Linked DNA regions of Anolis sagrei. The protein of the gene in region 3 purifies or fractionates together with the protein of the main gene of each other region. This does not show direct contact. Links are inferred from orthologs where the notes say so. Each region holds a gene or a part of one and is shown on either strand. Other genes may lie near its edges.

The links.
Region 1: the proteins of KPNA1 (region 3) and PHAX purify together in Homo sapiens (co-immunoprecipitation; 4 studies listed by BioGRID and IntAct, with this or other methods). This does not show direct contact. The link is inferred for Anolis sagrei from reciprocal best matches to the Homo sapiens genes KPNA1 and PHAX.
Region 2: the proteins of KPNA1 (region 3) and ANP32E purify together in Homo sapiens (affinity purification with mass spectrometry; 4 studies listed by BioGRID and IntAct, with this or other methods). This does not show direct contact. The link is inferred for Anolis sagrei from reciprocal best matches to the Homo sapiens genes KPNA1 and ANP32E.
Region 4: the proteins of KPNA1 (region 3) and NOP58 purify together in Homo sapiens (affinity purification with mass spectrometry; 3 studies listed by BioGRID and IntAct, with this or other methods). This does not show direct contact. The link is inferred for Anolis sagrei from reciprocal best matches to the Homo sapiens genes KPNA1 and NOP58.

The regions. Positions count from the first base shown.
Region 1 is NC_090022.1:237,947,775-237,955,373, forward strand, and holds the start of PHAX (phosphorylated adapter RNA export protein), read right to left. Parts: upstream 3,021-7,599; 5' UTR 2,909-3,020; coding exon 2,804-2,908; intron 1-2,803. UniProt on the Homo sapiens protein: A phosphoprotein adapter involved in the XPO1-mediated U snRNA export from the nucleus.
Region 2 is NC_090032.1:5,806,584-5,813,523, reverse strand, and holds the start of ANP32E (acidic leucine-rich nuclear phosphoprotein 32 family member E), read left to right. Parts: upstream 1-3,927; 5' UTR 3,928-4,209; coding exon 4,210-4,263; intron 4,264-6,940. UniProt on the Homo sapiens protein: Histone chaperone that specifically mediates the genome-wide removal of histone H2A.Z/H2AZ1 from the nucleosome: removes H2A.Z/H2AZ1 from its normal sites of deposition, especially from enhancer and insulator regions.
Region 3 is NC_090022.1:170,434,119-170,441,437, forward strand, and holds the start of KPNA1 (importin subunit alpha-5), read right to left. Parts: upstream 3,021-7,319; 5' UTR 2,928-3,020; coding exon 2,771-2,927; intron 1-2,770. UniProt on the Homo sapiens protein: Functions in nuclear protein import as an adapter protein for nuclear receptor KPNB1. Binds specifically and directly to substrates containing either a simple or bipartite NLS motif.
Region 4 is NC_090021.1:165,264,603-165,272,003, forward strand, and holds the start of NOP58 (nucleolar protein 58), read left to right. Parts: upstream 1-4,394; 5' UTR 4,395-4,541; coding exon 4,542-4,586; intron 4,587-7,401. UniProt on the Homo sapiens protein: Required for the biogenesis of box C/D snoRNAs such as U3, U8 and U14 snoRNAs. Part of the small subunit (SSU) processome, first precursor of the small eukaryotic ribosomal subunit.

The DNA.
Region 1 (7,599 bases), about 68 Mb from region 3:
GTGTAACCCAGTAGTCCCATACATACTTTCTCTTTTTGTCAATCATATATTAATGGATTGTTGCGAAAGTGAGAAAGAGGACTATCTTTGCTGCTTTTAGATCATTGGAGGAAAGACAGCATTTAAATGTAATTAATAAATTACTATATAGCCACATATAGGGATAGTGACAGCAGATTTGGCCCTGTTCAGGAGATTTCACCTTACTTTCTGTCCCTGTGATAATTGGATTTTGGAAAATGTGGCTTGTTGTGCAAATAAAGATCAGTGCTAAAGCTTCAGTGAGGACACCTCTTCCTATGATAACTCTTTCAGGAAATAATTTCCATCCTTAGGAGTATATTTTTCTCACTTTCTGTTGTCTCAACCCCGTTCTTAATTATGAGTTGTTTGTAAGTCAGATGTTTGTAACTCTGGGACTGCCTGTATAAATTCACATAAAACCTATGTACGGTTAGACACTGTTATCTGTACTCTGGACTTAACAAGATAGCTGTCACTATGCACAGGCCTGTACAGGTTAAATACCCTTTATCCAGAATTCCTAAATACTCCAAAATCGCCCACATGGGTGGCTGAGATAATGGCACCCTTGCTTTCAGGCAGTTCAATGTACACAAACTTTGTCTCAATGCACAATTTTTTTAAAAAATGTATATAATATGACCCCTCAGGTTATGTGACTAAGATGTATATAAAACATAAAGAAATTTCATGTTTAGATATCCTGGTCGCATTTCCAAGATAACTCATTATGTACCCCCAGTCAAACCTAGGTTAGGGGCACAGGGCACCCATGAAAGGGAGGGGGGGGGACATGAATAAAAAGATTTATAAAAGTTTATATTTTGTAATCTGACAAAAAGAACACCTTTTAAAAATCTCTAGGGGTGAATCTACACTGTAAAATTAATGCAGTTTGACACTACTTTAATTGCCATGTCTTAATGCTATGGAACGGTGGGAATTGTAGGTTTTACAAGTTTTTAGCCTTCTTTGCCAAAGAATACTGATGTCCCACCAAACTCTCATGATTTCATACCATTGAGTCATGGCTGTGGTGACAAACTGCAATGATTTTACAGTGCAGATGCCCCTTAGGCCTTCCAGCAGGATTCTTTCCAGTGGAATTGTTCTGGATGACATCTAAATGCCTAGAAAAGGCATGTCTACAGTCTCCAACATGACTTTCTTCCATAGTTCCCTTCTGCCAGAAGATGACCAGAGTTGTGCTGAAGGACCTAGAAATCCCTAATGACAAAATATTAAACAAATCCATGAAACTTGTATTGATTTATTTTTAAATAGTATTAAATTTTTATTTTATTACAATTTAAGTTCTAATTTGATTTTACATGCGGGTTTAATTTGGTATACTTTGGTTTATTTTGGTGTATGTTGGTTTATTTTGGGTGGTTTAGTATTGCATTTATTGTTGGTTCAGGCCGTGAATGTTTGCCTCTTTGTTGTTGGACTCTGCCCTCAGAAAGACAGGGCAGAATACATACAACAACAACATGCAAATAAATGGTAATCCAAACGTGGAAAAATCCCAAACACTTCTGGGTTGCATTCTACACTATAGAATTGTTGCAGTTTGACTCTGCTGTAACTGACATATCTCAATACTATGGGAACTAGTTTTACTTTTCTGCCAGAAAGGCTGGTGCCTCATTACATTGAAACTCCCATGATTCCACAGCCTTGAGCCATAGCAGTTAAAAGTGGTGTCGAACTGCATTAATTCCACAATGCAGAAGAGTCCCAGTTCCCTTCCACACAGCCCTACATCCCAAAATATCAAGGCAGAAAATCCCATATTATTTGAGTGTGGACCAAGGGCCCTTCCACACAACCCTACATCCCAGAATAGCAAGGCAGGAAATTCCACATTATCTGAGTGTGGACTCAGATAACCCAGTTCAAAGAGGATATTGTGGGATTTTTAATATGTCGTTTTGTATTGTTTATTTTATTTTGTTGTATTATGTGTTTCCTGTGTTTATTTTCTATTGTCTTGTATATTATTTTGTTTTATTATGTTTGGGCTCGGCCTCATGTTAGCCGCCCTGAGTCCCCATTGTGGAGATGGTGGTGGGGTATAAATAAAGATCATTATTATTATTTTCTGCCTTGATATTCTGGGATATAGGGCTGTGTGGAAGGGCCCCCAGGCTGGGAGCCTCAAGGGAAGGCCTTTAAGAGCTGTGTGGGAAGAGAAGCTTCCTTCAGGCCCCTTCCACACAGCTGGATAAAATCCCACATTATCTGCTATGAACTGGAATATATGGCAATGTGGACTCAAGGCCTTTCCTCACAGACATATAACCCAGAACATCAAGGCGCAAAACCCCACAATATCTACTTTGAGCTGGGTTATCTAGTCCACACTGCCATATATTCCAGTTCAAAGAAGATAATATGGGATTTGATTCAGCAGGTTGGAAGGGGCCTCAGATGACATCCCAGTAGTCCCAGCCCATCTGGAAGGGGCCTCAGATAACCCAGCTCAAAGCAGATATTGTGGGATTTTCTGCCTTGATATTCTGGGATATAGGGCTGTGTGGGAGGGCCCTCAGAGAAATCATCCCTCGAGGGCACGCTTGATGCCTTCGAACGCGACGAGCATCCATTACAAGGGACAAACCCCCCTGAAGCCGGCATGGAAGGCGGGCATTAATGCTGGGCTCCTGCAGCAGCAGCAGCAGCATCCTCCTCCTCCTCTTCCTCCCCGCCCAGGCCTCCAAGCCTCAGGGCAGTGAAAGGAAGAGGAAGGGAAAGGGAACTCCCCTCTGGGCCTGACCTGCTGGGGGCTCCGGGCGGCGGCCGAGACCGGCATCTCGCAGTCCGAGCCGGAAATCTCCCCGTCCTCCACGTCCTGCTCCATCCCGCGGGCCTCCAGCGCCATCTTCCCGCCCCTCAGTCAGCCAGCCAGCCAGCCAAGGAAAGAAGGAAGGAGGCCGGCCAAGCCCCGCGCGCGCTTTTCCCTTCCGCAAAGCGCCGCAACAGAAACTGCGAGTCCCATGGTGCTTTGCGCGGGGAGGAACCGGCCCGGCGGGTGGCACCTCCCCACGCGAGGCACGCCGGGAGTTGGAGTCTTTAAGCTTAACATTCCTGTTCTGCTTTGCGGAGCTGCCTGAATGGCGCCCGTCTGTGAACACCCTTTCCTCATTCTAATAGAGTGTATCTCAGGCACGGGCAAACTTCGGCCCTCCAGGTGTTTTGGACTTCAACTCCCACCATTCCTAACAGCCCAAGTTTGCCCATGCCTGGTGTTTTATACAGTAGAATTAATGCAGTTTGATATTACTCTTAACCTACCAAGCTGCAATATTAGGGAAACATGGGTGTTGTAGTTTTCAGCTTTCATGGGCAGCAAACAACAGATTCTCATGATTTCATAGCATTGAGCCATGGCAGTTAAAAGTGATACTAAACTGCATTAATTCTACAGTGTAGATGCACTCAATGGCAATTTGCAAAAGAAATTATTATTATTTATTTTATTTACTATATTTATATACTGTCCCTCTCAGCCCACAGGCGACTCATGACAGTTTACAGTTGGTACCAAGACCATAAAATACAATTTCAATACAATAAAAACAGTAGGATAATATAAAAATCATAGCAAAATCTATTGTTATTATTCTTATTATTCTTATTATTCTTACCTGCTTCTCCTGATAGTTCGAGGCGGGGTACATCAAAGTCTGTAACCCTCCTCGAGCCATGAAGAGAGGTGGGTAAGAAATAAAATTATTATTATTACAAAATTGTCTGATGTCGATGTTTAATATGTTATTATTTAATTTATGGTAGTTTATTATTTGTTGGTTGCACCGTACGGCATTGAATGTTTGCTGCTGTATGTTGTTAACCGCTCTGAGTCCCCATCAGGGAGATGAGGGTGATTGTATGATAGCTGGGTCCCCCTGCTATGAGCGTTTTGCTGTTTCCGCTTCGCTCCTTCTGGAGCGCTGTTTGTGCAGCGCAGAATGGAACACGTGACTGAGACAGGAGGGTGGAGTGAGCGACTGAGGTAATCTAAGACAGGCCGGACACAGATAATATAGAATGAATGTACGAGTTCTTTAATAGTAAAATCTTAACCATAGCCCCAACTCTAAACCCTAGCCCCAACCCTAACTGTAACTCTAACCCTAAACCATAACTGTAACCCCAACCCTAACCCTTCCCTCCTTTCTATCCTTCCTTTAAATGCAACCTCAAAGTATCTTCCCGCCCTCAGTGTCCTGCTCTCCCCACTCTCACTCCAACCCTCTCTCTCGACCATGTGATTCCTCCCCTTATTCACAACCACCTTTCCGGCATCTGCATAACGCTCATAACAGGGGGACCCCGCTATCATACAATCACTGAGATGAGGCAAGATACAAATAAAGTTTATTATTATTAAAGTTAAATACATATGAACAATACACACACACACACACATAACGCAAACATATGATGATGACTTCATACATTCTTAATACTTTTGTGCCAATATATATATATATATATATATAAAGCATGCACCAAACAGATATAGAATTGACCTATAGTAGCAATAGAATGTAAATCGAAATTCGTGATTGGAATACATGATTTTGATGTATAGGTATACCTTTCCTCCTATGAAATGGCCCTCAGACTCTCTCTCCCAGTCTTGCTTGTTTGCTGTTTTATATAAGGGACACCATTTTATGACACCATTGCATATAATGGGTTTTGAGCTCTCAAGGATGTTGGCATACACAGGGGCCCTGGACCCAAACATTTGTGCAGAGCTTTCCAAGTTTTTCATATTGGTGACAATTCAGAGGCAGCCCTAGGTAATTTTCAACGGTAAGCAAACAGTTTTTTGCCCCCCCACCCCCCAACAAATCACTGATATATATTTTCTGTTCGTCATGGGAGTTCTGTGTGCCATATTTGGTTCAATTCCATCATTGGTGGAGTTCAGAATGCTCTTTGATTGTAGGTGAATTATACATCCCAGTAACTACAACTCGCATATGTCAAGGTCTATTTTCCACCAAGAGCGCCTCAAGAGCGCCCCTGGGCAAAATCAACTATACTGCAAATGCTTACTTTGCGTAATGGGTTGAGCCGCCCCTGGGTGACATGCTTTTTTAGTCATGCATCCTTTCCTGACACGGTAATTTAGTTTTCCTAGCAAACCGAAAGTTAAACCAAGCTCGGAAACTGCAATTGGTCCAAAAATTTGTACGGGGAGCACATGATGCTCCTACTAAAGCAGCTCCATTGGCTGGCTATAAATATTCAGTCCCAATTCAAAGTGCAGGTTATTACCTGTAAAGCCCTAAACAGCTCGGGTCCTGCCTATTTTCGTGATTGCATCCTCCCCGCCCACCCCCATGAACCAATGTGGGCTCTAAGATCTGCCAGGGAGGCCCTCCTCTCGGTTCCACCACTGTCACAAGCCCCATCATGGCTGCTTATCACAATAACTGCTAAGTATTAAAAGTCAGAAATGGAATAGAAAGGAAATGGATAAGGTCCATATAATTTCCATAACCTGCTAGAAATCTTTGAACAAAATACACTTCAGTTATGCTGAGATTTACATCATTTTAATACTGTCTATCCATTTCACTGAGAAATATTTTTCACTATATCCCAATATCCCTTGAACCAGTTCAGATGGTTCCACTTGCCTAGTTCCAATGACCCTAAGACCAAGTCTTATTCCTAAAAGGTTAATTTAGTCCCTAAGATCAAGCAGATTCCAGCTGGCTGTAAGTTATGCAGTTTCTGATGCAGTTGGCACTTCCACTGCTCCAGAGGTGGATCAAGTAAGGACATCAACTTAAAGAGCAGCTTCTGTTTTCACTTAATTAAGAGACTTTTGTGACCACTGCTGCCGTGGGCTACCATTCACTGACACAATGAAGTCCTCGAAAGCCAAAAGCAGCCCAGGCACTGAACCTTTGAAACTGACAAGATGCCTCACAGAGATTATGAACTCAGGTGACCCCACGGAAACTTCAGAGAGACTTTGTTCACAAGTTCTGACTCTGACATCTTGCAAAGAGACAATGAAGTCTGAGAGGTAGCATAGGGCATTACAGCTTTCCTGCTACAAAGCAGAAGCATTTCCTTTTGCTCTACACTAGATGCCCAAGTCATGATCCTAATGGGCAACGAATATGGAATAAATCCATAGCATCATAGAATTTTAGGTTTTGTTCAGTGCAGACATTACACTCTCATAACTAAGTTGATATGTATGCTGTTTTGAAGGCTGCTTTTAGGCAGTAGGGATGGAAGGAATATTCAAAAATATGTGATTAAATACCTGCAAAATATGTTTCTTAAATGTCAGGGAATCCTGACAAAGAAAATCCAAGATTAAGGAGAATCTTCACAACTCAGGCCTTAATCTATGCAAAACATACACGTAGTGTGTGTGAGTGTGTGAGTGTGAGAGAGAAACATTGTTTTCTGAGCAAGGAACAGTATTTTCTGCACAGGAAATATTTTTGTGCAAAAGTTTTATTTTCTGCATAGAAATAGTATTTTTGGGAATTTAATCTGCATAAAATTCTGCAGATTGTTTTATGCCAAATATCTATGCATAAATAATTCCTGTGTTTTTTAAAACATCTGTTTTCTGCATAAAAGGGCCAAGCATAAATTTTGCACAGAATAAATCCTGATGTCACAACAACTGGAAGCTAGCTACATAATTATATAGATATCAGCAGAGGCATTGCAAGTTTTAGTAAGAAATTATTTAAACCTTGCAATCACAGCAATTTCAGATGGATATTTGCATACGGTTTTTCTTCTTGCCTAGAAATGTATGCCGTAAATATGTAATTGTCCTATTGAAATGAGCTTCAGTACAGATACAAGTTTAAGTAACTTTCATAATACATACAGGACAAACTTCATTAGTGAAACAAACAAAATATATAAGGTTCACAAAATAATTTCATAGGACATATATATCAATGAATATATCGAACTTGAAAACAGTTAACGTTGTGTTCAGTAAACTTGAGAATACACTTTCAATACGTCCATAATGTTTTCAACAATGTTCACGTTGTGTTCCACAAACTTGGGAGTATAGTTCACATTGACTATCAAGCTTGGAAACAATTTGTGTTGTGTTCAGCAAACTTAGGAGTACACAACAAGGTTCCCCGGGTGTTTTGTGTCCTTGTTTAAAGAATAAATTCTCTTCATCAGGCTTCTTGGGGGTTATTTCATTCAATCAAATGTAATAGTCACTTCTGTGGTTTTTACTAAATTTAGAGAGGACAAAATAATAGATATGCTAAGTGGCACCCAGTTATATTTTGAAAATTCTTATGTAAACAAATTAGTACAAAGAGATACTTACTTACATTAATAGCACCATCGGCTCTGCAAAGACACTTCAGTACAGTGTAGCATGCTTCTGCTTTCCATTTGCGAGCAATAAGATAAAGGAGGTTACTCCCTTTTAAGGATTATCAGTGGCACAGTGGGTTAAAGCACTGAGCTGCTGAGCTTGTTGATCGAAAGGTCGCAGGTTCGATTCCAGGGAGCGGCGTGAGCTTCCGCTGTCAGCCCTAGCTTCTG
Region 2 (6,940 bases), on a different chromosome or scaffold from region 3:
AGCACTCTGAACCCAGCCCAAACTTGGCACACTACCTACATGGCCAACACTGAATACTGCTGGGTTTGGGGGGGGGGGGCTGTTTTTGAATTCTGGGAGTTGTAGTTCACCAACACCAAAAATGAAGAGAAGGGCAGGTCTTCTCTACCAAAAGGGTTCCTAAGACCCCTTAGTTCACCTTCATAAGTGAGTTATATTAATTGTACTGTTTTCTTTGCTTGCTGTTTTGTTTTTACTGATGTGTTGTTGGGCTTGGCCTCATGTAAGCCACCCCGAGTCCCCTTGAGGAGATGGTGGTGGGGTATAAATAAAGTTATTATTATTATTATTATTATTATTATTATGCAATCAAAAAGCATTCGGAATCCCACCAATGATAGAATTGGGCCAAACTTCCCACACAGAACTCCCATGACCAACAGAAAATATTGTGTTTTCTGATGGTCTTTGGCAACCCCTCTGACACCCCCTTGTGACCCCCTCAGGGGTCCCGACCCCCAGGTTGAGAAACGCTAGCTTAGCCCTTCATCCAGTCCTTTCCTGTTTCTGTAACTTTAGTCCTCTTGATAACACTCTGACTATTTTGGACTGTAACTATCATAAAACACAGCCTATGATCAGGAATTTTGGGAGCTGAAGTCCAAAGGTTAGAATCAGGGCTGTAAAACCATAAGCCCCTGTGAAGATTTGTGGCCCTACAGCGCCACCTCCTCGAATTAAAACACATTACAAAAATAAAGGTACACTTCAGTGAAGTCAATGCACTTCTGGACACGATTCCTCTGACAGAAAACTTGGTACCGACTGAGCATCCTTTACTCAGAATCCCAAGATCCGAAATACTCCAAATTTGTCCGTGTGAGTAGCTAAGAGAGCGACTCCTTTGCTTTCTGATAGTTCAATAGACCCAAACATGGTTTCTTGTACAAATTTTTAAAAAAACTGTGTATAAAATGACCTATATTTTTAGATTACTATGTGAAACATTAAAGCGATTTGATGGTTAGATTTGGGTGGAAAGTCCATGGTGGGAGAAAGAATTCACACCTAGCTCCAACAGACAAGAGTTCTTTATCCCATCCTGGACTTTCCACAGATATATAAACCTAATTTTCCTAGTTTCCAACAGACATCACAACCTCTGAGGATGCCTGCCATAGATGTGGGGGAAACTTCAGGAGAGAGTGCTTCTAGAACAGGGGCCCTCAAACTTTTAAAACAGAGGGCCAGGTCACAGTCCTTCAAACTGTTGGAGGGCCAGATTATAATTTGCAACCCCCCTCCCCCCAAAAAAAACCATGAATGAATTGCTGTGCACACTGCACATATCTTGTTTGTAGGGGAAAAAAATACTTAAAACAATACAATAATTTAAATGAAGAACAATTTAAAAAATATAAACTTATTACTATTTCAATGGGAAGTGTGGGCCTGCTTTTGGCTGATGAGATGGGATTGTTGCTGTTGTTGTGTGCTTTCAAGTTGTTTCAGATTTAGACTGACCCTGAGCAAGGACCGGGTAAATGACCTTGAAGGGCTGTATCTGGCCCCCAGGCCTTAGTTTGAGGATCCCTGGTCTAGACCATGGCCATACAGCCCGAAAAAAGCTACAACAACCCACCGACTGAACAACTGAACAACACCACCCCAGCCATTCCACAGATATATAAACCCATGGTCCTAATTCCAACAGACCTCACTACCTCTGAGGATGCTTGCCATAGATGCAGGCGAAACGTCAGGAGAGAATGCCTCTAGAACATGGCCATATAGCCCGAAATAACCCACAAGAACCTAGATTGAACAACAAATTAGCATAGCACAGGAGACAAGGTGGAACTTAAGTAAGAATAGCCTTGCAGCTTCAAAGCCTGGCTGCTTCCTGCCTGAGGGGGGGTCCGTTGCTGGGAGGTGTTAGCTGGTCCTGGTTGTTTCAAGCAGCCAGGCTTTGATAAGGATATTGATAAGCTTCTCTGCTCACAAAAGAGGCTCAGGGAAGAAGACCAGATTTGATTTTATTTGTCGTGTCAGAGCAACCAGTCCATTATATTACATTTCTAACAGAACAAAGCAAACAAACAGAAAATTTCACACAACTTGTGAGTTTGGTAGCTGGTTAAATGTCCTTTGACCAGTATCTGGCCACTTGGAGTGCTTCCGGTGTTGCTGCAAGAAGGTCCTCCATGGTGCATGTGGCAGGGCTCAGGTTGCATTGCAGCAGGTGGTCAGTGGTTTGCTCTTCTCCGCACTCGCATGTCGAGGATTCTACTTTGTAGTCCCATTTCTGAAGGTTGGCTATGCATCTCGTGGTGCCAGAGCGCAGTCTGTGCAATGCCTTCCAAGTCGCCCAGTCCTCTGTGTGCCCAGGAGGGAGTCTCTCATTTGGTATTATTATTATTAACTTTTATTATTTGTACCCCACTAGCATCTCCCGAAGGACTCGATGTGGCTTACAAAGGCCAAGGCCTCAAAGCACAACACAACAATACAACACCTAAAGCAAATTAAAAACAAAGCAATATTAACGACATGCAATAAACAATACATCAAGACACTATGAAAACTGGGCCAGGATTAAAACTGGGGTACAGGATTAAATGGTATCAGCCATTGGTTGAGGTTCTGGGTTTGAGCCTGCCACTTTTGGACTGTCGTTTGCTGAGGTGTTCCGGCATGCAATAAATAAGCTGGAACATTATTTTAGACTACTGCAACGCTTAGACTACTGCAACGCTCTCTACGTGGGGTTGCCTTTGAAGATGGCCCGGAAGCTCCAATTAGTCCAACGCTCGGCAGCCATGATACTAACTGGAGCGGAGCGCAGGGAGCATACAACTCCTCTGCTGCACCAGCTCCACTGGCTGCTGATCTGCTACCGGGCTCAATTCAAAGTGCTGGCGTTGGCCTTTAAAGCCCTAAACGGTTCTGGCCCAACTTACCTATCCGAACGTATCTCGGCCTATCAGCCCACCAGGACCCTAAGATCTTCGGGGGGGGGGGGGCTGCTCTCTATCCCGCCTGCTTCACAGGTGCGGCTGGCGGGGACGAGAGACAGGGCCTTTTCTGTGGTGGCCCCACGGCTATGGAACGCCCTCCCCATGGAGGTAAGATCAGCCCCCTCATTGATGGTATTCCGGAAAAGACTAAAAACCTGGATGTTCGAGCAGGCGTTCGGTTAACTCAGTGCAATAAGTGTAATGATTGAAGGACTGGCAATTTGGACGACGACACTGGATCGCGATTTTAGTCAAGAGATGAATTGGATTGTTTATAGATATATGTACTGTGGATTGGAGCCCCCGGTGGCGCAGTGGGTTAAAGCACTGAGCTGCTGAGCTTGTTGATCGAAAGGTCGCAGGTTCGATTCCGGGGAGCGGTGTGAGCTTCCGTTGTCAGCCCTAGCTTCTGCCAACCTAGCAGTTCGAAAACATGCAAATGTGAGTAGATCAATAGGTACCGCTCCATCGGGAAGGTAACAGCGCTCCATGCAGTCATGCTGGCCACATGACCTTGGAGGTGTCTACGGACAACGCTGGCTCTTCGGCTTAGAAATGGAGATGAGCATCACACCCCAGAGTCAGACATGACTGGACTTAATGTCAGGGGACTACCTTTACTACTGTGGATTGTGTTTTTATGCTTTTAAACTGTATACTGTTGTTTGTTATAAGTTGTTGTAAACCGCGTTGAGTCGCCGACTGGGCTGAGAAACGGCGGTATATAAGTATAGCAAATAAATAAATAATAAATAAACATCTTCTCTGCTCACAAAAGAGGCTCAGGGAAGAAGTGCAGATGGAGGAGGCGCTTGCTTGACGAGCAGGCTGAGTGTCCAATGGCGCGGAGCCGGGGGCGGGGCGCTACCTCCTCCAATGGGGTCTTCCCTAGGCGGGCTGTCCTCCCTCCCCCTCCCTCTGGTGGGCGGGGCTTCTGGCAGGGGGCCCCATGCGTGGTGTCATGGAGGCTCAGTCCGCGAGCGGCCATTGAAGGGAGCGGAGCTGCGCGTTCGGCACAAACAGCGGGAGGAGGAGGAGGAGGAAGAAGGAGCCGCCGCCTCGAGGGCCATTTTCCTTTCCTAAACTCCTCGTTATTCTTTCCAGCCCGAAAGAGAACTCCTGCTTGTTATAATCCGGATTATTTTTGCCCTCCGGACTTCGGAGGCCTAGCCTAAAGAAGGGGGAGACCAAGAAGAAGGAGAAGAGGAGCAGGATGGAGATGAAGAAGCGCATCAATTTGGAGTTGAGGAACCGCGCGCCGGAGAAGGTGAGCCTTGGCCTCCCTCCCTGTCTCGCTTTCGACTCGCATTCGCCATGGCAGACGCCCCTGCCTTCCTTCCTGCCTTCCGTCCTTCGACGCCAAGCCCTCCTAAATATGTCTGGATATGCGAATGTGCGCATTTGTGTTGTTTTGTTTGCGTTTCTCTCCTCTTTCGGGGGCCTTCTTTCCGTGTCCCCCCCCCCCCCCAAATAGTGTTTTCATGGCCTGAATCACTGGTTTTGCTGTGAGTTTTCCGGGCTGTGTGGCCATATTCTAGCAGCATTCTCTCCTGACGTTTCGCCCACATCCATGCCAGGCATTCTCAGAGGTTGTGAGGTTGCAGGTCTAAAAATTCACATTAATCCATTATTATTATTATTATTATTATTATTATTATTATTATTATTGGATTGTGATACAATTGTGATTATTATTATTATTATTATTAGGTTGCTTTGATATAATTGTTGTTGTTCTTATTATTGGGTTGCTGTGAGTGCTGTCTGGCCACGATGTAGCAGCACTCTCTCCTGACGTTTCGCCCAAAATTCACAGCAACCCATTATTATTGTTATCGTTATTATTATTGTTATTATTATTATTATTATGTTGCTTTGATATAACTTTGATTATTATTATCATTATTATTAGTATTGGGTTGTGATATAATTGTGATTATTATTATTATTATTATTGGGTTGGTGTGAGTTTGGCCATGTTCCAGCAGCACTCTCTCCTGACGTTTCGCCCACATCGATGGCAGGCACCCTCAGAGGTTGTGAGGTTTCCAGGTCTCAAAATTCACACCAATCCATTATCATTATTATTATTATTGGGTTGCTTTGATATAATTTTGATTATTATTATTATTATCATTATTATTGTTATTGGATTGTGATATAATTGTGATTATTATTATCATTATTATTATTATTGGGTTGCTGTGAGTTTTCAGGTCTGTCTGGCCTCGTCCCAGCAGCATTCTCTACTGACGTTTCTCCCCCATCTATGGCAGGTTGTGAGGTCTGTTGGAAACTAGGAAAATTGGGTTTATATGTCTGTGGAATGAATGATGCCCAGGGTGGGAGAAAGAACTCTTGTCTGCTTGAGGCATGTGTGAAGGTTGCAACTGTCCACCTTGATTAACACTGAATGGCCTTGCAGCATCAAAGCCTGGCTGCTTCCTGCCTGGGGAAATCCTTTGTTGGGAAGTAGGTGGGTGGGAGAAAAAACTCTTGTCTGCTTGAGGCACATGTGAATGTTGCAACTAGCCACCTTGATTGGCACTGAATGGCCTTGCAGCTTCAAAGCCTGGCTGCTTCCTGCCTGGGTGAATCCATTATTATTATCATTATTATGATTATTATTAGTGTCTTGTTGAAGGCTTTCATGACCGGAATCACTGGGTTGCTGTGAGTTTTCAGGTCTGTCTGGCCATGTTCCAGCAGCATTCTTTCCTGACGTTTCTCCCCCATCTATGGCAGGCATCCTCAAAGATTGGGAGGTTTCCAGTTCTGAAAATTCACAGCAACCCATTATGATGATGATGATGATGATTATTATTATTATTGGGTTGCTGCGGGTTTTCGGGTCTGTCCGGCTACGTCCCAGCAGCATTCTCTCCTGACGTTTCGCCCACATCCATGGCAGGCATCCTCAGAGGTTGAAGGGGGTCTGTTGGAAACTAGGCAAGCGTGGCAAAGCCTTGCAGCTTCAAAGCCTGGCTGGTTCCTGCCTGGGGGGAATCCTTTGTTGGGAGGTGCTTATGTGGCCACTTTCCAGCAGCATTCTCTCCTGACGTTTCGCCCACATCCATGGCAGGCCTCCTCAGAGGTTGAAGGGGGTCTGTTGGAAACTAGGCAAGCGTGGCGAAGCCTTGCAGCTTCAAGACTTGGCTGATTCCTGCCTGGGGGGAGAAATCCTTTGTTGGGAGGTGCTTATGTTTTGGAAGAGATTGAGAGACGGATGGAGAGAGAGAAAGGCTTCCTTTGGCTCCCATCTTCTAGATTTGTTGTTGTTGTTGTTGTTTACTGCCTCCAAAGTCCAAAATATTTGCCTCTTTAACCCTCTCGGGCAGGCGTGGGCCAACTTTGGCCCTCCAGGTGTTTTGGACTCCAACTCCCACAATTCCTAACAGCCTACCGGCCTCCAAAGTCCAAAATATTTGCCTCTTTAATCCTCTAGGGCAGGCATGGGCCAACTTTGGCCCTCCAGGTGTTTTGGACTCCAACTCCCACAATTCCTAACAGCCGGTAGGCTGTTAGGAATTGTGGGAGTTGGAGTCCAAAACACCCGGAGGGCCAAAGTTGGCCCATGCCTGCCCTAGAGAGTCTCCTTCGCGTCTCAATGATTGGAATTATTTAATCCGAGCTCAAAAGTGCGCCTTCAACGACAACGTTCCCGTTGTCACTTTTTTTTGGTCCAATTTCGGCACATTCTCCGCGACCTACGACGACCATCATCCACAATCCTACGCTGTTTAGGGGTGTCTTTTTAATCTGACTTTTCCTGGCTTGTTTGGATTTTGGGCAATCAATCTATATATAAATAAAAATTTAATGTTTGTTTGTGGCATTAACATAACTCCAAAACCACTGGGCGAATCGACACCAAATTCGGACACAAGACACCGATCAGGCCGACGTGTCACCATCTCTCAGAAAAACACAGCAAAAGAGACTTT
Region 3 (7,319 bases):
AATGGTGGAATTAGTCTCTGAAGCAACAGCAATTATGATTGAGGGTTCATCACATTAATTACTGCAGCATAATTTCTTGTTAACCAAATGCCTCTAATGCCCTAAAATGTGTAAATCTCCACTTGCGACTTTTGCCTGAAGTGTCTCTGACAATGGTAGGAAAATGGTAAACACTATTAATAAGAATACTAATTATAGCACTAATAATAATAATAATAATAATAATAATTTGTATTTGTTACTTGCTTCTCCTAACAGCTTGAGGTGGGCACAGTCAAAACACATCCACATAAAATGCATGCAACAAAACAAGCGTTGGCCTATAAAGCCTTAAACGGTTCCGGCCCAAGATACCTATCCGACCGCATCTCGACCTACGAGCCCACCAGGACTTTGAGATCTTCCAGGGAGGCCCTGCTCTCGATCCCGCCTGCTTCACAAGCATGGCTGGCGGGGACGAGAGATAGGGCCTTCTCGGTGGTGGCTCCTTGGCTGTGGAACACCCTTCCCGTGGACATCAGACTGGCTCCTTCCCTGATGATATTCCGCAGGAAATTAAAGACTTGGTTGTTCAAGAAGGCGTTCGAACAAGAAGTGCAATGATTGGTAATGACTATAGGAATGGAACAACGGAAAATGATACTGGTTTATGATTTGGACGATGAGACGACGTGGAATGGTTTCTGTAGTAATGATGATGTTTTTGTATAATGCTGAAGTGTGAATTGTTTTGATACTGTGTTTTGAATTTTGTTCCTCTTATGTTGTACACCGCTGTGAGTCGCCCCTGGGCTGAGAACAGCAGTATATAAGCAAAGCAAATAAATAAATAATAAATAAAACAGCTATATCAAAACACACCATTATAAAATATTCACAGTAAAACACATGGTACAAAGATCAAAATACAGCAGTAACAGAATGAAAATGCAAAACTCATTGTTTAAAGTTGACTGGGTAGGCCTGTCAAAAGAGATGTGTGAGAGTTATTAATTTATTTATTCATTTACAGCATATAATGGCCTGATAGCACAACAACAGGGAGGAAACAAACAAGGACATCTCATCACCTCTCAACAAAAGTTGGCTCCAGGCACTGCCAGGCCATCATATGCTAATCAAGGTGATCAGTTGAAACATTCACACCTAGCTCCAGCAGACAAGAGTCCTGGTCATTCAACAGGTATATAAACCCTTTTTCCTAACTCCAACAGACCTCACTACCTCTGAGGATGCTTGCCATAGATGCAGGCGAAACGTCAGGAGAGAATGCCTCTAGACCAGTGGTTCTCAACCTTCCTAATGCCGCGACCCCTTAATACAGTTCCTCATGTGTTGGTGACCCCCAACCATAACATTATTTCTGTTAGTACTTCGTAACTGTAATTTTGCTACTGTTACGAATTGTAATGTAAATATTTGATATGCAGGATGTATTTTCATTCACTGGACCAAATTTGGCACAAATACCCCATATGACCAAATTTGAATACTGGTGGGGTTGGAGGGGATTCATTTTGTCATTTGGGAGTTGTAGTTGCTAACCTATAATCAAAAAGCATTCTGAACTCCACCAACAAAGGAATCGAGCCAAATTTGACACACAGAACTCCCAAGACCAAGAGAAAGTACTGGAAGGATTTGTTGGGCGTTGATCTTGAGTTTTGGAGTTGTAGTTCACCTACATCCAGAGAGCACGGTGGACTCAAGCAATGATGGATCTGGACCGAACTTGGCACGAATACACAATATGCCCAAATGCAAACACTGGTGGAGTTTGTGGAAAATAGACCTTGACATTTGGGAGTTGTAGTTGCTGGGATTTATAGTTAACCTACAATCAAATAGCACTCTGAACCCAGCCCAAAATGGATCTGCACCAAACTTGGCACACTACTGACATGGCCAACATTAACTACTGGTGGGATTGGGGGGGGGGGGCTGTTTTTGAATTCTGGGAGTTTTCATTCACCAACACCAAAAAGGATGAGGACAGGCGGAGAGATCTTCAGCCTTCTCTACCAAAAGGGTTCCTAAGACCATGAGAAATATGTGTTTTCTCATGGTCTTTGGCGACCCCTCTGAAACCCCCTCACGACCCACCCAGGGGTCCCGACCCCCAGGTTGAGAAACACTGCACTAGAGCATGGATCCATTCGAGGGGGAACTATATAATTTCATTTGTATAAGTAATTATAATAATACTAAAGATCCCAGCCTATATAATGTATGTTGGCCATATAGCCCGAAAACATGGCCATATAGCCCGAAAAAACCTACAACAACCCAGTGATTCCGGCCATGAAAGCCTTTGACAATACATTGAGTTTTCTGCCTTGATATTCTGGATTATATGGCTGTGTGGAATGGCCTCTCAGGGCCCTTCCAGACAGGCCCAATCTCCCGGGATCTGATCCCAGGATTTCTGCTTTAAATTCGACTATTTGAGTCCGCACTACCAAATAATCTGGGATAAACAGAAAACCTGGGATCAGATCCTGGGATATAGGGCCTGTCTGGAAGTGCCCTAAGAGGCCCAGAGCCTGGCATCTCCGGTGGATGACAGTTGAGTGATGAAGATTTTGCCCTGAAAGCGGGTGGTGGGTAGGTAGGTGGGTGGGTGGGCGGGACGGTGAGGAGCAGCTGCCTGGTGGCCTGGCGTGGCCTTGCTGCCCCGCCCCCAACTCCCGGGCCTCCCGCCGCCATTCCGCCCCACAGCCCACACCCACGCCCAGGCCTCTTTCCGCCGCGGCCTTGCCAGCCCCGTCACCTGCGCTTGCGGCCGGCCCCACGGCCAGGCCCACGACGCCAAGGCCCTCCTCCTCCTCCGCCGCCGCCGCCCCGGCGCGCAAAGGCGCCCCTCTCTCCTCGCCAGGCGAAGCCGGCTGCGCACGCTCCCAGCGCGCACGCGCCACCGGGCCGGCCATTTGGCGCAGCTTCCGGTGCGCGCGTGACGTTCCTCAGCTCCGCTCCGCTCGGCTTGTTTACTTATCTCTATGGTTATGTTGCGGCCTGGAGAGGAAGAGCTAGCCGGGGTGTCCCGCCCTCTCTCACCCCGGAAGTGCTGCTCTTGTGGAGGGAGGGAAGGGTGGAGGAGCAGGCCGACAGCGCCACTCGCCTCAAAGAGGCCCTTGGAAGCCGCTCCCTTCCGTGTCTCTCCCTCTCGGCCCTTCTAATGGGGAGGCCAGGCCGGCCCTGAAGCCCCTGGAGAGCGAGGACGCGCCATTGCAAGCCGCCTTCCCTGCCCACGCCCCGCCCCACGGTGACAGGGGGAGGGCCTCGCAGGGCAAGTGGCCTGGCTGATTCTCTCACACTAGAAGCAACTTGCAGTATGAATGAATGAGTTTGTTTGTTTGTTTGTCGTGTCAGGAGTTTATTTATTTATCGTGTCATCAAGAACCATTGTATTACAATTCTAACAGAGCAAAACAAACACAGAGATTTTAAAAAAAGGAAAAAAAAACACAGATTTTGCAAATTTGGTATTTGGTTAAATGTCCTTTGACTAGTATCTGGCCACTTGGAGTGCTTCTGGTGTAAGAAGGTCCTCCATTGTGCATGTGGCAGGGCTCAGGTTGCATTGTAGCAGGTGGTCTGTGGTTTGCTCTTCTCCGCACTCGCATGTCGAGGATTCCACTTTGTAGCCCCATTTCTGAAGGTTGGCTCTGCATCTCATGGTGCCAGAGCGCTGTCTGTTCAGCGCCTTCCAAGTCGCCCAGTCTTCTGAGTGCCCAGGGGGGAGTCTTTCATCTCGTATCACCCACGGATTGAGGTGCTGGGTTTGGGCCTGCCTCTTTTGGACTCTCGCTTGCTGGGGTGTTCCAGCGAGTGTCTCTGTAGATCTAAGAAAACTATGTCTTGATTTAAGTTGTTGATGTGCTGGCTGATACCCAAACAGGGGATGAGCTGGAGATGTCTCTGCCTTGGTCCTTTCACTATTGGCTGCTACTTCCCGGCGGATGTCAGGTGGTGCAATACCGGCTAAGCAGTGTAATTTCTCCAGTGGTGTGGGGCGCAGACACCCTGTGATAATGCAGCATGTCTCATTAAAAGCCACATCTACTGTTTTAGTGTGGTGAGATGTGTTCCACACTGGGCATGCATACTCAGCAGCAGAGTAGCATAGTGCAAGGACAGATGTCTTCACTGTGTCTGGTTGTGATCCCCAGGTTGTGCCAGTCAGCTTTCGAATGTTTCTACTTTTTGTTTGATGTTCACGCAGTGCTTCTTGTAGGTCAGAGCACGGTCCAGAGTGACTCCCAGGTATTTGGGTGTGTTGCAATGCTCCAGTGGGATTCCTTCCCAGGTAATCCTCAGAGCTTGGGATGCTTGTCTGTTCTTAAGGTGAAAGGCGCATGTGTCAGGAGTGACTGCAAGTCGCTTCTGGTGCAAGAGAATTGGCCCTCTGCAAGGACGTTGCCCAGGAGACACCCGGATGATTTGATGTTTTTATCATCCTTGTGGAGTAAATGAATTAAAACTTTAGTTCTTCTCTGCCTATCTCCCCAGAGGGTGGCTTACAACACATAAAAAGGCAAACGTTCAATGGCAAATAATAATAATAATAACAATCTTCTATCTATCTATCTGATAATCTATATAAATAAAAATGTAATGTTCGTTTGTGCTATTCACAGAACTCAGAAACCACTGGGGGAATTGACACCAAATTTGGACACGAGACACCTAACAGTCCAATTTATGTTCTCCACTCAAAAAATAATTAACTGGAAAGAACTTACCCCCCACAAGGCTAAATGCCTATATAGAGCCGGTGTTTTATTTATTTTTTATTTCAGACACTTCTACCCCGCCCTTCTCACCCCGGGGGGGACTCAGAGCGGCTTACAAAGGCACAATTCGATGCCGGCATCAATACAAAACAATACAACAATAAAAACAGTATAGCAGCAATTAAAGTTAAAAACAATTAAACGGTCGGTTCTCAGTTCTACAACACGTCAATAAACCAGTTTAGCATTCAGCGTTCGCTGTCTCAGAGTCCATAGTTTCAATTCCACATTGTCAGTCCTGTTAATTCTAGTAGTCCATTGTCCTTAGCTGCCGGGTTGCCCGAAGGCCTGGTCCCATAACCACGTTTTTAATTTCCTTCTAAAGGAGAGGAGGGATGTTGCTGGTCTGATCTCACCCGGGAGCGAATTCCACAGGTGAGGGGCCACGACCGAGAAGGCCTTGCTCCTTGTCCCCACCAGCCTCACTTGTGATAGAGGTGGGGTCGAGAGCAGGGCCTCCCCAGATGATCTCAGATTCTGAGGTGGGACGTAGAGGGAAATGCGTTCGGACAGGTACGCCAGACCGGAGCCGTATAGGGTTTTGTAGGTCAAAACCAGCACTCTGAATTGTGCTCGGAACTGGATCGGCAGCCAGTGGAGCTGACATAGCAGAGGGGTGGTATGCTCTCTGTATGACGCTCTGGTGAGTAATCTGGTTGCCGCCCGCTGGACTAACTGAAGTTTCCGAACAGTCTTCAAAGGCAACCCCACATAGAGTGCGTTGCAGTAATCTATTCGGGATGTAACAAGAACGTGGACCACTATGGCCAGATCAGACTTCTCCACGTACGGGTGCAGCTGGGGCACAAGTTTTAATTGTGCAGAGGCTCTCCCGGCCACCGCTGAGACCTGGGGTTCCAGGCTCAGCAATGAGTCCAGGATCACTCCCAAGCTGCGAACCTGCATCTTCAGGGGGAGTGTTACCCCATCTAACACAGACTGTAACCCTATGCCTTGTTCGGCCTTGTGACTGACCAGTTGTACCTCTGTCTTGTCTGGATTCAGTTTCAATTTATTAGCTCTCATCCAGTCCGACACAGCGGCCAAGCACCGGTTCAAGGTCTGGACAGCCTCCTTGGTGACAGGTGAGAAGGAGTGACAGATTTGGACATTTGGACCGTAACAGCGGCCAAGCACTGGTTCAGGACCTGAACAGCCTCCTTAGTAGCAGGTAAAAAGGAGTGACAGAGTTGGACATCATCCACGTACAGATGACACTGTGTATACAATGGCTGGTGTATACAAACAAGCAAACCTTTTCAGGACCAGCTTTGACAATAATCTCAATTATCATCAAAAGCATGTCAGCTACCAATGAACTGTTGCTTTATGAACTGAGCCAAGATAAATGTGATGTTTTGTGTCCAAGAAACATCACATTTATCTTGGCTCAGTTAGATCAGTGGTTCTCAACCTGTGGGTCCCCAGATGTTTTGGCCTTCAACTCCCAGACATCCTAACAGCTGGTAATTTTTTTTTCTTGCTGCAAAATTTCTTTTGTGTCCAAGAAACACACAGAGATAATCAACAGAAATGACCAAAAGTTCCAGGAATGATCTTAGTGGCGGAAAGACCACATGTGCAGTATGGAAGTTCTGGCTTTGTAAAACTAAGCTTCAAAGTCAGCAGTGCCCACAATACTGGAGAAAACAATGTAGAGCAGGTATGGGCAAACTTTGGCCCTCCAGGCATTTTGGACTTCTACAAAAACAGTGACAGATTTGGACATTTGGACCGTAACAGCGGCCAAGCACCGGTTCAGGACCTGAACAGCCTCCTTAGTAGCAGGTAGAAAGGAGTGACAGGAATTATGGCTGTTAGGAATTATGGGAGTTGAAGTTCAAAACACCTGGAGGGCCTAAGTTTGCCCATGCCTGATAGAGAGGTTATAACAGTAGAGCTTAGTAATATCACAATTACCTCTCTATATAAGCCCCCAAATGAAGAGTTTTGTTTCTCCTCTCCTGAGAACTTTGATAGGCATCAAAGGGCGGTAGTAATTGGTGACTTTAATAGCTGTAGGGGGCTATGCACAGGAGTATAAAAATGGAGAGGCTGTTTTTTCCTGGGCTGAATTGCATAAACTATTGCTTATTCATGATCATAAGTTCCCATCATCCTACAACAGTATGAGATGGTACTGAGGATATAACCCAAACCTGCTCGTGAGCGACAGTATTGTGCATCAATCAGTGGGATCACCAACATTAAACACACAGCATTGGCCGATCATATGCCAGTTGTTTCCAGCTGTAAGAGCTCAGGAAGTTCGATTCAACTTCAGAAAGGCAGATTGGTCTATGTTAGATGACAAGATTATGACGGTTGCCCCAATCCCTGAGGAATACAAGCGCTATCTCTTCCTGAACACCAGAGGCTAGATCTTTCATTTTATAGAGCATGTCACAAAAAGGCTGCTGGTGGTGAAATCACTAGACAGGCAGAAATCACCAGTGTTCAGAATCTTTTGAGACAGATCTTGACAAAAAATGGGTTTGGTTGAGAGCCAATCGGACAAATAGGGAA
Region 4 (7,401 bases), on a different chromosome or scaffold from region 3:
TGTGATGAAAACGAAATGGATCAGTACAACCAGAGATATGTCGGTATACCATCGGAAGATGGGACTCCCAGGTTGGAAGATAGTCAAAATTCTACTGGTGAGGAACAGAGGATAAATTCAACTAGCCCCAGTTGTGATGATGCAGGTAGCTCAAAGCTGAAAGGAAGTCTAGGGGCCGACGGTGCTGGAGGTGAACAACAAATCCGATGTTCTACAGATCAGCACACTCTAGGAATCTGGAATGTAAGATCTATGAGCCATGGCAAACTGGATATTGTTATTGGTGAGATGTCAAGACTAAAGATAGACATTCTGGGGGTCAGTGAACTGAAATGGATTGAAATAGGCCACTCCATAACAGATGACCACCAGATTTACTACGATGGACATGAGGAACACTGAAGAAATGGAGTAACCCTCATAATAATAATTTATCTATATATAAATGCTCTGTGCATAATGAGTACCTTAAAAACAAAAGAACCAATGAACAAAATCACACCAAATTTGGCAACAAAACGTCTCACTACACAAGGAGTGACCATCACACTCAAAAAATTATGATTTTGTCATTTGGGAGTTGTAGTTGCTGGGATTTATAGTTCACCTACAACCAAAGAGCATTCTGAATTCCACCAATGATGGAATTGAGCCAAACTCGGGACACAGAACTCCCATGACCAACAGAAAATATTGAAAGGGTTTGTTGGGCATTGACCTTGAGTTTGTGTTGCAATCCAGAGCAGGGAACGAGGCCCTAAGATTACTATCCACCACACTTGGCTGTGAAAAACAATCCTTTTTTATTGAAGAAAAATGGTTACAAAATAAAGGAAAAATGCAAGTCAAAAGCCACAGCAAAATCAGCAAACATTAATTTAAATGGACAAAGCAAAACCAAAAGCCTCACTGGGATATACTGGAACCTGTTAGCAATCCACTAACCGTACTTGATATCCTAGAATCTTCCCAAACTATGGCCAGGGAACCGGGAGAACTGCCAAGGTCTTAATCAATTCTGAAACGAAGCCTGAACTGAGACAATCAGCCCGGCGTGCAATTAAAACTCAAGAATTCGTTCCGTGAACCGCCCTTCTTTTTTGAAGCCAATGTTTTTAATTCTTGAATTAGGGAGGATCGACGCAAACTGAGTGATTTACTTCTGTCTTCCCAAATTTGGCCCCTTCTGTTGTCATTACAGTTAGCAGGTGAAGAAGGGAGGGAAATTTCAAGGTCTCCCTCTGAAACGTTCTCATGAACACTGGTACTTTCATTTTCCAAATCTACAGAAGTTCCTTCCTCACTAATTTCAGGAACATTGGCATTTTCCAAACCTACAGCAGTTTCTTCCTCACTAATTTCAGGAGCATTGGCATCAAAAGGTACATTTCCACTAGCATCAGTAAATATACTTTCATTAGCATCAGGAGGAACAAACAGAGAATCAGGTTCAAGTTCAAACTCAGGCTGAACCCCAACAGTTTGGGAGTTGTAGTTCACCTACATCCAGACAGCACTGTGGACTCAAACAATGATGGATCTGGACCAAACTTGGCACAAGCACTCAGTACGCCCAAATATGAACACAGATGGAGTTTGGGGAAAATAGACCTTGACATTTGGGAGTTGTAGTCACTGGGATTCACAGTTCACCTACAATCAAAGAGCATTCTGAACCCCACGAGCAACTGAATCGGGGCAAACTTCTCACACAAAACCCTCATGACCAACGGAAAATACTTAAGACCATCCAATCCAACTCCCTTCATCAGGGCAAGAAAACTTAATCAAAGTCCTCCTGACAAAGAGCCATCCAGCCATAGACAATTCCAGAGGTTATCCAGAAGAGATAAGGAACTATTTTGAAACAAGCAATGCATGGAAGTGGAAGAAGACAATAGAGTAGGACGTCCAAGAAACCTCTTCCAGAAAATTAGAAACATCGGAGGTAAATTTCAGGTAAAAATGGGCATGATCAAAAACAAAGATGGCAAGGATTTAACAGAAGCTGAAGAGATCAAGAGAAGGTGGCGAGACTATACAGAACATCTGTACAGGAAGGATAATAATATCGATGACAGCTTTGATGGTGTGGTGAGTGAATTAGAACCAGATATCCTGAGGAGTGAGGTTGAATGGGCCTTAAGAAGCATTGCTAATAACAAGGCAGCAGGAGACAACAGGGATTCACAGTTCACCTACAATCAAAGAGAATTCTGAACATCACGAATGACAGAATCAGGGCAAACTTCCCACACGGAACCAATAGAAAATGGCCAATAGAAAATACTTAAGGCTATCCAGTCCAACTCCCTTCACCAGGGCAAGAAAACGTAATAAAATACTGTTTACCCACAAGCAGAAAGAAATGACATATATTAGAAACCAACACTTTCTCATTACTTTATTTATATACTTTATATACTTTATAATCATTACTCATTATACAGGGTTAGTCAAAATGAATAGGCCAATAAGAAAATTAATTGTAGCCGAATGTATGTTTACTGTAACCAAACCACAGCTACGTAGCGACAGATAAACTATCAAAGTTTTTTTGAGCAACACACATGTACGTTAATGCCGCTAGGCGTCGCTAGGAGTCGCTGTTTTCAAAATGGCGGAATCAGGCAAAGAGAAGGCGTTTTGTGTGATGACATTTGCTAAAACAATGTCAGTAATTACGGTCCAGCGAGAATTTCGAGCCAAGTATGGCAAGGAACCACCTCATCGACATTCCATTGCGAGGTGGGTAAAGCAATTTGAGGAGACGGGCTGCTTATGCAAGGGTAAAACCACAGGACGACCGCGTGTCTCCGAAGACACAGTGGAATCCATTCGTGCATCCTTTCAACGAAGTCCCCAGAAGTCGACAAATCGTGTTGCCATGGAATTGAACGTTCCGCAAAAAACTGTGTGGCGCGTGTTACGCAAACGTTTGCAGTTCAAGCCGTATAAATTGCAAATGGTGCAGGCTTTGAAAAAAGGTGACTATTCGAAACGACACGATTTTTGCGAATCAATGCAGCGAAGACTAGAGGAGGAAGGCTTTGCCAACAGACTGGTCTTCAGTGACGAGGCAACGTTTCACCTGTGCGGGAAGGTCAATAGGCATAATCTCCGCTTTTGGGGATCTGAAAATCCTCATGCCGTATTGGAACATGTAAGGGATTCGCCGAAGGTAAACGTTTTCTGTGCAATAACCAACCGTCACGTGTTTGGCCCATTCTTTTTCGCGGAGAAAACCGTAACAGGCATAGTGTACGCTGACATGTTGTCTGAATGGTTGATGCCACAGTTAGAAGAGAAAGTGCCCGATTTCGTATTCCAACAGGACGGTGCCCCTCCGCATTGGCACAACAGTGTATGCGAGTACCTCAACGAACACCTTCCCAGACGTTGGATTGGCCGTGCTGGAGTGACTGATCTTCCATTCCTCCTGTGGCCCCCCAGGTCCCCCGACCTCACACCATGCGACTTTTCTTTCTGGGGGTATGTGAAAGACACTGTGTTCCGACCTCCATTACCGCTGACCTTGGACGACTTAAAACAGCGCATATGTGCTGCATTCGATGCCATTACGTCAGATGTGCTGCAACGGATGTGGAATGAACTGGACTATCGCTTGGACGTCTGCCGTGTCACACGGGGCGCCCATATCGAACATCTCTGAAGGTGAGACAAAACTTTGATAATTTATCTGTCGATACGTAGCTGTAGTTTGGTTACAATAAACATACATTCGTCTAAAATTAATTTTCTTATTGGCCTATTCATTTTGACTAACCCTGTATTGTCGAAGGCTTTCGCGGCCGGAATCACTGGGTTGTTGTAGGTTTTTTCGGGCTATATGGCCATGGTCTAGAGGCATTCTCTCCTGACGTTTTGCCTGCATCTATGGCGTCCTCAGAGGTAGTGAGAAAGTAACTTTCTTATTACTTTATTTTCCAGATCACCAGACTGGGCCACAGCTACGCATGGCAGGGGACGGCTAGTGTGCAATATTCCAGGATCTGATCCCAGATTATCTGTTTATCCCAGATTTTCTGGCGGTGTAGACTCACTTAATCCAATTCAAAGCAGATATTCTGGGATCAGGTCGTGGGATCTCAATTTTGGAATAATCCCACTCTCTTCATCTCTATTCTCAAAAGCGCCCTTCGCCAAAGCGTGGCTGCAATTTCGCTAAATTTGTATTTATTTGCTTTTTTCCCCTCACAAGATCATGTCTTTCTTTAAATAAATACACAAAAAAAGTCCTGTTAGTAGTTTGTATTGAATCTCGACTCGAGAACCCGACGTCAAGGTCGGACACTATGAAGATGTAACCCTTAGGGTTTTTTTTTTTATGTCCCCGCCCACTTCCACCCTCAGCAGCTTTCCCAGAAGGCCCCGCGAGAAGCATTTCCGGCGAGGCGCCATTTCCGCTCTCGTGCGCCTGTTTCTTTGCGCGCGTGCTTCGTACCTGGCAGTCGGGGGCTCGCGCGCCCGGCTCTCTCTTGGTTGTTCCTGGGGAGCTCCGTCTTCGGGCCGGCGCCGCCATGCTGGTTCTCTTCGAGACGGCGGCCGGGTACGCCATTTTCAAGGTGAGCGCCGCGCTTCCTCCGCCATGTGCTCCCTCGGCCGGGTAGAATTGGCTGGGCAATCCAGCTTTAGAGGCGTCTGAGGGGAGGGAAGGCCTTTACATCCGGGAAGGGCTTTCCCTTCCCGCCTCAGTACTAATTTGAAATAACTTCAGCTTTCCTTGGGAGTAGTATTGTTGTATAATATGTCCAGAGTCAGTACAGTTGGTCCTCCATATTCACGGATTCAACCTTTTGAAAACATTCCCAAATCAAACCTGGAGGTTTGCCCTTTAATCTCAGGGACACACCATTTTGCGACCCCATTGTATGTAATGGGGCCTGAGCATCCACGGATTTTGGTGTCCAAAGGGAGTAATAGAGTTGGCCTTCTAGTTCAACCCCCTTCTGCCATGCAGGAAAAGCACAATCAAACTACCCCGACAGATGGCCATCCAATCTTTCACCACATTCCGAGGCAGAGAGTTCCACTGCTCTTACAGGCCTCCTTCCACACAGCTGTATAAAATCCACATTGAGCTGGGGTATATGGCAGTACGGACTCAGATAATATGGTTTGCTTTAAACTGGATTGTGGATTATCTGCCTTTATATTCTGGGGCTCCTTCCACACAGCTGTACAAAATCCACATTGAGTTGGAGTATATGGCAGTATGGACTCAGATAATACACAAACGCAGCGCCCAAACACGAATCAAGGAACATGAAAGGCACTGCAGACTGCTTCAACCAGAGAAGTCAGCCTGAGCAGAGCACCTGATGAACCAACCTGGACACAGCATATTATTTGAGAACACAGAAATGCTGGACTACTCTCACAACCACCATGTCAGACTACACAGAGAAGCCATTGAAATACACAAGCATGTGGACAATTTCAACAGAAAGGAGGAAACCATGAAAATGAACAAAATCTGACTACCAGTATTAAAAAACTCTAAAATTACAACAGCAAAACAACAGAGAGGAAACAAACAAGGACATCTAATCACCCCTCAACAAAAGTTTGCTCCAGGCACAGTCAGCCCATTGTATGGTAATCAAGGTGCTCAGTTGAAACATTCACACCTAGCTCCAGCAGTCAAGAGTCCTTTGTCTCACCCTGGTTATTCCACAGATATATAAACCCTTTTTCCTAGTTCCAACAGAACTCACTACCTCTGAGGATGCTTGCCATAGATGCAGGTGAAACGTCAAGAGAGAATGCCTCTAGACTATCGCCATACAGCCCGAAAAAACCTACAACAACTCAGATAATACGGTTTGCTTTAAACTGGATTGTGGATTATCTGCTTTGCTGTTCCAGGGCTCCTTCCACACAGCTGTATAAAATCCACATTGAACTGGGTTATACGGCAGTGTTAAGTCAGATAACCCCAGTTCAAAGCAGATACTGTAGATTATCAACCATGATATTCCGGGTTATATGGCTGTGTGGAAGGACCCACAGACAGAATGTTCTGGAACCAAAGACCCAACACATACTAAGGGCACACTGTACAGCAGGCCTCCTCAAATATCAGCCCTCCACCCCTCAGAAGTCCTATCCAGCTTGTTCAGTGGTGAGGGATTCTGGAAGTTGGTGGCCCAAATGGGTGGAGGGCTACCATTTGAGGAAGTCTGCAGTACATTATACTGTCTTAATTCAAGCTAGCAGTCTCCTCAGGCAAGTACATGTATCTTCTCTATTGTAAGACAGAAACTGAAACAAACTAACTTTATATAAATTCATTAAATTTAAATCTCAGGACTTCATTGCATTGAGCCATGGCAGTTAAAGTGGGGTCAAGTTACATTAATTCTGCAGTGTAGATTCACCCTGTGAAACCCATGGTTCAAATTTCTACTCTGCCCTGAATTCTACAGCTCATTTTAGAGAACCATATATATATGGTTCAAATGGTACCCATGGTTCAAATTTCTACTCTGCCCTGAATTCTACAGCTCATTTTAGAGAACCATATATATATGGTTCAAATGGTACCCATGGTTCAAATTTCTACTCTGCCCTGAATTCTACAGCTCATTTTAGAGAACCATATATATATGGTTCTCTAAAATGAGCTGTAGAATTCAGGGCAGAGTAGAAATTTGAACCATGGGTTTCACAGGGTGAATCTACACTGCAGAATTAATGTAACTTGACCCCACTTTAACTGCCATGGCTCAATGCAATGAAGTCCTGAGATTTTAAGTTTAATGAATGCCTAACACTCCTTGGCAGAGGAGGCTTGCTAAACTACAACTCCCAGGATTCCGCCAAGGCTGTTTAACTGGGGTGAAACTTTATTATATCCTCCATCTTAATCACTAGGGCTCCTTCCACACTGCCCTATATCCCAGGATCTGGTCCCAGATTATTTGCTTGTCCCAAATTATCTGGCAGTGGAGACTCATGCAGTAATCCAGATTAAATTGGGTGATCTGGAATCAGGACCTTGAATATAGGGCAATATAGAAGGAGCCATTCAGATAAGGGATTATATGGCAGTGAAGATGGGGCCTCATGGTTTGTATCATCACTAGCCTCTTCTACATTGCCATATAGTCCAGAATATCAGAGCAGATACTCCACATTACCTGCTTTGAACTGGATTATATGAGTATACTGCCATATAATCCAATTCAAAGCCAATAACCTGGATTTTATGTGACAGTGTAGAAGGTTGCATCAATTTCTGCCACCATACCTAGTTTTAGTTTTTCTTTGTGCTCGGAATGCTGTTTTGTATACAGTAGCTAGGTAAACAAAAATACAGATTTTGTGTATGGCAACCTACTTGATTGGGATTTTGCTAGTGATCCAACTGTGATGTAA